Macaca mulatta: one gene and its partner. The protein of the gene in region 2 purifies or fractionates together with the protein of the main gene of each other region. This does not show direct contact. Links are inferred from orthologs where the notes say so. Each region holds a gene or a part of one and is shown on either strand. Other genes may lie near its edges.

Region 1 (5,839 bases), on a different chromosome or scaffold from region 2:
TATCTAGTGAAGAGCAGCTCCGTGTCTTATTCACTTTGTTTCCATTTCCCTCCCCCTCCACGCAACATAGTTTTCATATCTTTAAATTCACTGCTCTGACAACCAGAGCCCATCATTGGTTTCTATATTATCAGTTTACCCAGTCTCCTATCTTTGTAGCACAATGTAGCAATTTCCACTTTGTAGCACAAAATTCCGTGCAAAAATTCAGTGCAAAACTGGGACCCCCTCCACCTCTAACTCAACTGTGCCTTTCCAGTACTTCAACCCTCCCATATTTTTCAACACTATTTCCACACCAATAGCCACCCTCACAGCCATTAAAGAGGTCACAACAGTTGGGGTTCAGGGGACATGAAACAAGGGAAGGCTTCATAGGGAAGATCGCACCTGTCCGGGAGCTCGGCTCTTAAGACGCGAGTCTGCCGATGCTCCCGGCCAAATAAAAAAACCTCTTCCTTCTTTAATCCGGTGTCTGAGGAGTTTTGTCTGCGGCTCGTCCTGCTACATTGGTCCCTGAAGGACAGGTAGAAATGGAGGGAACCTTCCAAAAGAAGAATATATAAGTAAATGCATGAATAGCCAAGTGTCTAAAAGCAGACTTTGGGATTTGAAAGTTTGGGGGGGAAATCCCAGGCCCACTAGCTGTATCATCTTAACCAATTTACTTAACTTCTTTAAACTTAAGTTTAAATTTTAAAAAATCTAGATAATAATGTCTGCCTTTCTGGGGGTCTTGAGGATTGAATGAAATCATATAAAACACAATCTCTCAATCAAGAAAAACAATCACCAATAAAGCAGTAAACATCAGTCATTCTTGGCAACCAGTAGTAGTTAACTTTGCCAGTGTTGGTGAATTTGGGAGAATAGCCTGGGAAAATAAATTCAGATCAGACCAAGGTAGGTATTTAAAGATTATGAGAGTTTGGAAGAAAATAGGCAATAGAGTTATCAAAGTTTGTGTGGGAGGAGAGAATGAGAGGCGGAATGAGAAGGGGAAAGGGAGAGAAGTTCGGGGGGAGAGAGGGAGGAGAGAACGAGACGGGGAAAGTGAGAGAAGTGTGGGGGAGAAAGGGAGGGAGAGAGCCAAAAAGAGAGAGGGAGAAAAAGGAAAAGAGTTAGCCGGACCTGGTGGCTCGTGCCTGTAGTCCCAGCTACTCTACTCGGGAGGCTGAGGCAAGAGAATTGCTCGAACCCAGGCGGCGGAGGTTGGCAGTGAGCCAACTTCATGCCACGGCACTCCAGCCTGAGCCACAGAGCCAGACTCCGTCTCAAAAAAAAAAAAAAAAAAAAAAAAAGAAATAAAAAGAAAGGGAAGAGGGAGAAGGGTAGAAGGATTGCTATAGGGAATGGTCAGAACTAAGCAAGTTACTCAGTATTTCTTTGTAACTCATTGATGTTATGTTTATTGTCTAGCACTCTCATTACACTTTGAGCCTCATAAGAATACGAAACATGTCCATTTTATTCTCCACTATATATACAGAGCCTTGCACAATCCTTGGCACACAGTGACTACTTGATAAATATTTATTGAATGAATCATGATAAGGAGGAGAGGGAACCAAAAAAATAAAGATTCCGAGAATTCAAGATAGGCGACTGGGAGAATACAAAAGTTTGGAAGTGCAGAGGAAATAATGAGTTTAAATTTTGCACGTACAAGTTTAAGAAGCCTATAGTGCACTCGTGTTCATGTTTAGCAAAATTCATATGTGTAACTGGACCTCAGATAAGCGGTGCGGGCTTGGGATAGGTTGTTAAGATTCATTAGCATACGGGTAGCAATTTACATCACCCTGAAGAAGGGAGGCTTTAAAAGGGGGGATGCACCGGAAGTGACGCCAGTCAGAGGTTAGGTTAGCGGAAAACGGAAGCGGAGTGGCCGAGAAGCAGCTTCCGTTAGCACTACCTTAAAAGGAAAAGAGCCAGATAAAGAGAAAGGTTAAAAGTATGAGAAAGTGCAGAAGCCACTGGTCTCAGGGAGACAGAGAAAGACACCAAAGAAGAAGTCACTATTATGAGGGACCACACACCAGCCACTCAAGGTAAAACTACAACATCTAATTAATTTGCCATTTAAATCAGAAGTCGTTGGCGGCTTTGGGATGAGAGGTTTTTAAGGGGTGTTGGGGAGCAAAGCCAGATTGCCGTGATAGTTATATTGCTTGAGTTTGAATCTCAACTAGTCTGTTACCGTAGGCAGATTCACTCCATCTTAGCTGTAAAATGAAGATTATAAAATAATAGCAATTACCTCAGCATTGTTATAATAAGTGGATATATGTAAAACTGATTAGAAAAGCACCTTACATACAGTCAGCGCTTCACATTTTAGTTATTGTTAGAATACTTTGCAGAATAAATAGCCCTTAAAAGGTGGTGAATGGCACTGTGAACTTAATTTTTGTTGGTGTCTGCAAGACATTGTAAAATGCCAGAATGGGGAAACTAGATGAACTTTTCCTGTTGAATATGGCTAGGTTAAAATGAAACAGTAATTTTAGGCATACTGCCAAAACATAGTAATTCAGTGAGGGTGATCCTTCCAGAATGTTCCAGAATGCTAAATTGTTCACTATTCATGCACGCCTTTCCCCAAGCTCCGCCCATTTATCCTATAGGCTACGGAATAGGAGGTCTCGCATTTCGAATTGGTCTCCAGAGGACTTTGGCTCCGCCTCCTGGGGCAAAAAAAGTCCCTGTAATTGAACACTTTCATTTTTGCTTGTCCCCAGGCTTGTCGGTAGAAAACTAAGGGACTTTCCTTTTGAGTATCATGTTTACAAAAGCGAAGTGGTTTTTAAATTTTAAACTAAGTAAGTATCAAACAAGTAGATAAGGCGGATGGGAGGGATCTGCAGGAACTGAAGGGCGGTGGAACTTAAGGTTGGAACATCGGTGTGCTTTTAACGACGGACCGAGCTACTTCCGGGAGAGAATGGGAGGGTGGAAAATTCTGTGCGTTTGGCGGGTTTCGCTCTCTTCATAAGTATTGATCATTCCGCAGCTGTGGGGGCCGGACACGTGAGGAGGTAGTGACGCCGCCACTGCCGGAACACGCTGCTGCAGGCTCCCCGATGGCCATGTCTGTGGTGAGTGCTTGGGCTGTGGCAGGTCTGCTGGGCGCCGGACTCCAGTGGCTGATTGGAGGGACTCCGGGGCGGTCTGGTTGCTGCTCACGTGGATAGGTGACGAATCACGGCCCGGCTCTCTGTACTGCGGGGCGGGGCCCACGTTTTGCTGCCCGCCTTGCCGGCCCCAACCCCGCCTGTTTTGCTGTCGCTTTCTGGTCCCGGAAAGGACCCTGAGCTGCGAAATAGCGAGAGGCGGGGGTTTGGGGTTTGTTGTTTATGGCTTGCATTCTCTTTTTCTCGATTATCTTCCTCTCTAAAAATCACTTTCAGTTACCTGACAAACTGGCGATTCATTGTTCTTAATTCTGTAATAGACTGGGCCCCGTAAATGAATGAGAAGGAAGGTATTCCTTAATTCTCCGGCACGAACGCCAACAGCGTTGCTTTCTTCGGTTTCACGGTTCTTATGCAAACAGCAGTGAAAGTTCACGTAATGTGGGAAAGTTTCCTAAGTGGAGCTGCCAGTTTTTCAAGTAGTTGAACTACATTGGGGGGTGTGTGTGTGTGTGTGTGTGTGTGTTCCGTTCAACAACTTTGGAGTTTGGCCCTAACATCTCACTTGGAAAAGAGAAAACACTTGCCTAGCTTATTCAGTGGCAGTTTTCGCCGCTCGCTCTCCTTTTCTAAGGGTCAGGTGGTGTCATTTTCATTGCCGTGAATGTTTGTAAAATATTGAAAGTCTAAAGTACTTAGTTGCCAAGAAAAGATTATAAATTTATATGTAGAGACTGAAAAAGACTCAGATTCATTGAGAAGATTATGTCCTAAAGACATGCACTTAAAGTTAGTGAAAAATTTTAAAATTGCAAACTTTAGAGTCCAGCCTTTAAAATGTCTGAATTTATATGAAAGAATGTGGACTATATATAGAACTACATGGTGGTTGAAATAAATCATCAGCTTCTGTCAGTGGTTTTGTGTTTGTGAGGGGTTGAAACGGTTGGTAATCTATACTTCTGGAATTTTTCTTGTAGGATTTTAAAACTTATGTAGATCAGGCATGTAGAGCTGCTGAGGAGTTTGTCAATATTTACTATGAGACAATGGATAAAAGAAGACGGGTGAGTGTTATAGACTCTACTACTGTTTTTAGACTACTACTTGTTATTAAATACCAGGTCGTGTCTGGAGCCAGCGTTTCATCTGCCTTGCATAAGTGGTAACTGTGGACTTACCCTTTAAAAGCAAATTGCTCAGGGAAGGATTGGTATGGCATTCATGGGAACATGGGCTCTGGAATCATATCCCAGGTTTACCTTTACCTAGTTTTTTAACCTGGAGCAAGCTGTCATTTTCCCTCAACCTCATTTTCTTTTCAGGTTGATAAGTATGAATTAATTAAAATACCGCACTTAACATTGGGCCCAGCATATATTCACTTAAATATGTTTCTTTTCTTAGTTCCATCAGTTAACCAATATGGTTAAGGTAGTATTAGTGCTAATGGAGGGGTCGGTCATTACTGGGAATATTTCCTGATTCGCCCCTTTTATTTCATATATTTATAGGTAATTTCTGATTATGGTTCAGAAGTATAGCTTACACCCACAAAAAGTATGCATGTAGCATGGATAATATTAAGTCCTCAGCAGATCGAGATTTCATCAGCTTTTTCATTGCAACTTATCCCTGCACCGTATCTTTTAAGTAATTATGTCAGTATGTAGTCAAGTGAGTCTTGCCTAGGTCTCTTACCAGCATAGAACTGTGCTTTGGAGAACTACTTCTATCCTGCAGCTGCAAAAGTTAATACCCTATCTCTAAAAACCTATTTTTTGTATAAAACCCATTTATTAAACATGGGATTTTATATATATATATATATATATATATATATATATATATATATATATACTTTAAGTTCTGGGATACATGTGCAGAACGTGCAGATTTGTTACATAGGTATACAGGTGCCATGGTGGTTTGCTGCACCCATCAACCCGTCATCTACATTAGGTATTTCTCCTAATGCTATCCCTCCCCTAGCCCCCCACCCCCTGACAGGCCCGGGTGTGTGTGATACTTCCCTCCCTGTGTCCATGTGTTCTCATTGTTCAACTCCCACTTATGAGTGAAAACATGTGGTGTTTGGTTTTCTGTCTCTGTGTTAGTTTGCTGAGAATGATGGTTTCCAGCTTTATCCATGTCCCTGCAAAGGACATGAACTCATCCCTTTTTTTATGGCTGTATAGTAGTCCATGCTGTACATGTGCCACATTTTCTTTATCCAGTCTAACATTGATGGGCATTTGGGTTGGTTCCAAGTCTTTGCTATTGTGAATAGTGCTGAAATAAACGTATGTGTGCATGTGTCTTTATAGTAGAATGATTTATAATCCTTTGGGTATATACCCAGAAGTGGGATTGCTGGGTCAAATGGTATTTCTGGTTCTAGATCCTTGAGGAATTGCCACACTGTCTTCCACAATGGTTGAACTAATTTACACTCTCACCAACAGTGTAAAAGCATTTCTATTTCTCCACATCCTCTTCAGCACCTGTTGTTTCCTGAATTTTTAATGATCACCATTCTAATTGGCCTGAGATGGTATCTCATTGTGGTTTCGATTTGCATTTCTCTAATGACAAGTGATGAGGCGCTTTTTTCATGCTTGTTGGCCACATAAATGTCTTCTTTTGAACAGTGTCTGTTCACATCCTTCACCCACTTTTTGATGGGGTTTTTTCTTGTAAATTTA
Region 2 (5,543 bases):
GCTATATTTTCTTAGTAATAGGGCCTCACTCTGTCACTCAGGCTAGAGTGCAGTGGTGCGATCATAACTCACTGCAGCCTTCATCTCTTGGGCTCAAGCGATCCTCCTGTCTCAGTCTTCTGGAGTAGCCAGGACTACAGGCATGCACCACCATGTCTGGCTAATTTTAAAATTTCCTGTAGAGAAGGGGTCTTGCTGTATTTCCCAGACTGGTCTTGAACTCCCAGCCTCAAGTGATCCTCCACCTCGGCCTCTCAAACTGCTGGCATTACAGGCATGCGCCACTGTACCCAGCCCACTTACGCTTATAATCCCTCCAAAAAAAAAAATCGGCCGGGCGCGGTGGCTCACGCCTGTAATCCCAGCACTTTGGAAGGCCGAGGCGGGCGGATCACAAGGTCAGCAGATTGAGACCATGGTGAAACCCTGTCTCTACTAAAAATAGAAAAAATTAGCCGGGCGCAGTGGCGGGCGCCTGTAGTCCCAGCTACTCAGGAGGCTGAGGCCAGAGAATGGCGTGAACCCGGGAGGCGGAGCTTGCAGTGAGCCGAGATTGCGCCACTGCACTCCAGCCTGGGCGACAGAGCGAGACTCCGTCTCAAAAAAAAAAAAAAAAAAATCAATTTTTTTTATTCTAAAAGTTTCAAGATATTATTTACACCTTGCCTGTCCCTCAGAGAACTTCATGGACTCCAAGCCCCATACTCAGCCTGAGCCAAATGAAGACATCCAGAGGAATTACTCCTTCCACAACCACAGTTTTCGTATTTCTCTTCCACCCCTTCTCTGAACCTGCTCTAAGGTGTTGGAAGATACTGATTCCTAGGAGAAGAGACAGATACTTGACTATGGCGTAATCAGCTAACAAGAATAATTTTTGGGCTGGGCGCGCTGGCTCATGCCTATAATCCCAGCACTTTGGGAGGCCAAGGCGGGCGGATCACGAAGTCAGCAGTTCAAGACCAGCTTGGCCAATACAGTGAAACCTTGTCTCTACTAAAAATATAAAAATTAGCTGGGCGTGGTGGTGGGTGTCTGTAGTCCCAGCTACTCAGGAGGCTGAGGCAGAAGAATCGCTTGAACCCAGGAGGCGGAGGATGCAGTGAGCCGAGATCACGCCACCGCACTCCAGCCTGGATGACAGAGCAAGATTCCATTAAAAAAAAAAAAAAAAAAAGGCCGGGCGCGGTGGCTCAAGCCTGTAATCCCAGCACTTTGGGAGGCCGAGACGGGCGGATCACGAGGTCAGGAGATCCAGACCATCCTGGCTAACCCGGTGAAACCCCGTCTCTACTAAAAAATAAAAAAACTAGCCGGGCGTGGTGGCAGGTGCCTGTAGTCCCAGCTACTCGGGAGGCTGAGGCAGGAGAATGGCGTGAACCCCGGAGGCGGAGCTTGCAGTGAGCTGAGATCCGGCCACTGCATTCCAGCCTAGGCGACAGAGCGAGACTCCGTCTCGAAAAAAAAAAAAAGAATAATTTTTGTGGAATAAAATTAAACATCTCTACTCTGAGCGTGGCCTCCGATCTCTACTGTACCATCTACTTGCTCAAAGTACTCACTGTAATCTTGAACCAGTTCTTTGAGGTCCCATCCTGGCTGGTGCCAGCCCCTCCTCTCTCTGGAGGAGCTCTGTCTCTCCGCACAGTAACATGAATGCGATCTCGATCATGCCAAGTATCACCCCGACGGTTAGGTCGGGTGGTATAGGGGTTGCTGTGGGTAAACAGAGGATAAAATGACCACAAATGCTAGGAAAGTCTTCTCAAAGACCTTCCTGCACTGTGTTGGCGGGACTAAACTAAGACTGTTCAATCGCTAAGCTAGTCCTGGCATTTCTCACTATAACAGGTGGGAAGGAAAATGACATGGACAGTAAAAGGGCCATATAATCTCATGAGCCACTAAATTCAAACCAGACCAACTGGTCACTTACTATCGTACTCGGGGACCATCCTGGGCATCACTCATTGCCACATCTCCATCATCTTCCTCCAGGCGGGAAGACCGAATACCAGAACCGCCTCTTCCAGACCTACGGTTTCCTTCACCATATTTCCACCGGAAGGGACCCCGGCCTTTTTTCTTTCTTTGAGGGAAATTAACGCGTTCATCATCGTGTTCTGGAGTTAGAAACAGGAACACAAATTAGAAGTAACTGGTCCGGCTTGGTGTGGCAATCATAGTTTCTACTCTGAACTACTGGAAGAGATACATACTAACTACACAGGCCATCTCCATGCAAACTCCGCTGCCTGTCCACAGGAAAGAACTCTCTCTGTGGGAGGTCAGCATCAAGGAAAAGTTATTGGAAATCTGTGCAGGGCTTTTGAAAAATGAAGTAGAAACTGGAATTAGAAGCAGAATGTATAAATGTGAGACCCCAAAGTGTAAGTGAACACAAATCAGACCTCTGAAAGCCACCTGAAATCTGCCACTCAATACTTTGTCTATACAGTACAGATGCCAGTTACAAATATGATCAGTTTAAGGATCCTCTAAAAATTCTCCTTGTTCTCAAATTGCCACTTTGAAGTTTTCTGAGGAGCTCTTCGATTCCTTGGCCAGAAATGCCCTTTAACTCAGGAGACAATTTCTAGACTCAGGCTCTAGTGGTAGTGCCAGGCTAGGGTGCTTAACCAGGGACCCTGGAATGCTCTCCAGGAATATGATCTGATTCATGCTGTGCAGGACTAGCGTCTTAAAAAGGGTCCCTAACTCCCAAAAGAGATCTGCCTAATACCGAGCACTCTGTAAACAATGAATCTCAACAAATGACCCTAGGAAAAAAGAACACAGAAGGCGCAGCTAACATTCATTGAGAACTGTTCTCCAGTACCGGCCACTATGCTTCAGGCACTTGATAGGAATGATCTCATTTTCCCCCCTACTTCCCCCCCAACTCTTAAGAAATACTGTTGTTATTCCACTTTAAAGGGGTGGAAGAGGAGAGTTTTAAATTCACGGTTTCAACCTCCACCATGCACTCCTAACTACTACAAAGAACTAACACCCAGTGTAGTGTTCAGACTGGAACATCCAGTTGATGTGTAAGTCTCGAATATTAAGCCAAAGCCCAGGCCCGAGGGTTCAAGACCGACTGGACGCAGTAAAAAATAGGGCACCAGGGCAGCCCATGAGTAGGGCACTAACTCACATTAAAGGAAGAGTCAGGCCGCCAAACCGAACTGACAGGCATCAACCACCCACAAAGTTCAAAGGAATCCCGTCCCCCTACCCCCGAGCCACCCGCTCCGAGCCGCAGGTCCCCCAACACCAGGATTCCAGGAGGAATCCAGGAGTCAACAACTCGGTAATCCACCTCGAGTGCCCCCGACCCCCCGCGCGCCGCTCCCCGCGGACGTCGGGCCCCTGGCGGCCTCACGCCCCGGAGGCTGAGGCCTAGGCCGGCGCCGCCCACCCGCGCCCCAGATAGCCGGTTCCCGACCCGAGGACCAGCACTGACCGCTGTACGACTTCCCCTCGTCCGCCATGCCACAGCGAAGAGCAAGGGCGGGCTCAAGCGCTGGCCGCTACGCCGGCAAACGACCGAACGCCCAAGCACTCAGGACCGAAGTGTCCCTACGCCGGGCGCCACCGCATTTATATAGCAAAGCACGTCGCGCGCCGCTGACGTCCCAGGCTGGAGGCGGTGTCGCCGCCCGGAGAAAGCGCGACCCCCTGCGCGTGCGCACACTTAAGGCCGTCGTGCGAGGGGCGGGGCCTGACCCTCCGCGCCCCGCCCAAGACCTGAGCTTGCGGAACCCCGGCTGGTAGCCAGCAGGTCCCCGCATGTTTTCATCTGTCCGCTGACGCTGCCCTGGCAGCTTGAGTTAGTGCTAGAGCAGAGTGCTGCCGCTGCAGCCCAGAACTCAGCGGGGAACGGGGCCGTACCAAGGGCTTCCGAGGAATGGAGACCGCGCCTCCGGGTGGGAGTGATGGCTCAGACCCCTACCCGCATCTAGCCAGTGTGTCAGCTCGGCTCCTTGTCTATGCCTCGCTTTCTTCGCCTATAAGATGGATTAACAAATCACGAAGTTGAGAATTAGAATGTGAGCTCGAACGTTGACTAAAGGCTTTTTTTCCCTCGAGGGCTTGACTCGGCAGGTACTATGCCTGGCACATAGTAAAAATTCAACATGTATTTGTGAAATAAATGAATTTCTATTCTGTGAATTTCCCCCACCCCACCCTGAGTTGCTGAGTCAAATGAGACGACATCTGTCAGGGGTTTGCCGAGCATTGTCTTCACAGACCTTCCATCAATGGCGTCCCCTGTTAGAAACCCATCGTGTCAACGGGGCAGACAGTGAAGCTCACCAGCAGTGGCAACTTGCTGGAGATGCCGAGGAGGAGGACATTTTAAAATATCAGGGCCTTGGGCTCTCCTAGACCCCCAAAAGCACCACCATCAGCCCCTGATTGATTGTTGTCTCTATAGCTTCAGCTTCCTTTGGAATGTATGAGACAGGGGCACTGGAGCGTCCTCAGAATGTGGTTGCGAGTCTTGGTCAGGAAGAACAAAGCACATTAATCTCTCTGGACGGTGGGTATTTTGGGCAGGTGTTTCCTCCATTCTCTGTGACTGGCTTTGATTTGGTGAAGTGCTTTGAGGGAATCAAAAGCCTCAACTGGAGTTGGGAACAAATTCTTCACCTTCCACTCCTGGCAGCAGGCAGAGCTTCTGCCTTGCTTAGCTCAAGGAAGAATTACGGCCAAATAGTTGGAGGATACAGATGAAACAGGTCCAAACACTGTTTGAGATGGTCTTGGAAGCTGCCACCAATCAGGGACCCCCTCTGGGATCCTGCTTCTGTGTGAAAGGAAGTTTCCATGCTAATCAAGTGTTGCAACACTTGGTTCTCCCCTGTCTAGAGGCAGCTGTGTGTCAGAGCCCAAAATAGCCTGCCTCAGCAGTGATACCTGGCACAGCCATTAGCCCAACCCTTTCAGTTCTGGTACTGGGCAGTGGGCTCACTCCACTCGCTGCCTAGGCCCTTCGACGCTCCCACCCAGAAATGATGACATGGCTAGTGAGGCTGACAGTCTTGCTGTAATTGGGAGAAAACGGGCTGCAGCACATTTGGCAGATTGAGAGTCACCAGCAGCCAATGTCAGGGGTTGTGCAGGCAGCTGAAGGGCTCAGGGTTCCCTGCCCCACATGGTGAAAGAGGAAGAAAGAGGTCAATTGGGAAAATTGGTCCCTGGGGCTGCTTCCTCTCTTCACTCACAGGAAGGTGGGGAAAGGCATCATCTCCCTTTGCTGCCAACGTTTCCTTTGGGAGAGGCTGGAGAGGGTTTATAAAAGTCTCCTAGTGGAGACAACCTACCCCACTGGCCCCCAGCTGGCCTCTGTTCCCTTCCAGTCACTTCACACACAGAGTCCAAATCTAGAACCCTGTGTGTTTCATAGGCCTGAGGGTGGTGGGGGGAGGACAGGGTGGCCAGAGGCAAGGGGTGGGGGGTCAGGGGCAGTGGCCATTCTTTGCAGTTCCAGGGAAACAGGGCCTTTCTCCCAAGCACCCTGCACAGGCTCAGTGGCA

Evidence for each region. The genes of interacting proteins can lie anywhere in the genome.
Region 1: the proteins of NXF1 (region 2) and NXT2 purify together in Homo sapiens (co-immunoprecipitation; 5 studies listed by BioGRID and IntAct, counting the BioPlex papers as one, with this or other methods). This does not show direct contact. The link is inferred for Macaca mulatta from reciprocal best matches to the Homo sapiens genes NXF1 and NXT2.

The regions. Positions count from the first base shown.
Region 1 is NC_133426.1:116,310,313-116,316,151, forward strand, and holds the start of NXT2 (NTF2-related export protein 2), read left to right. Parts: upstream 1-1,930; 5' UTR 1,931-1,956; coding exon 1,957-2,051; intron 2,052-2,678; exon of another isoform or gene 2,679-2,822; intron 2,823-3,013; coding exon 3,014-3,098; intron 3,099-3,274; exon of another isoform or gene 3,275-3,345; intron 3,346-4,114; coding exon 4,115-4,201; intron 4,202-5,839. UniProt on the Homo sapiens protein: Regulator of protein export for NES-containing proteins. Also plays a role in mRNA nuclear export.
Region 2 is NC_133419.1:11,249,817-11,255,359, reverse strand, and holds the start of NXF1 (nuclear RNA export factor 1), read right to left. Parts: upstream 3,581-5,543; 5' UTR 3,495-3,580; coding exon 3,467-3,494; intron 2,124-3,466; coding exon 1,937-2,123; exon of another isoform or gene 1,906-1,936; intron 1,752-1,905; exon of another isoform or gene 1,717-1,751; coding exon 1,563-1,716; intron 1-1,562.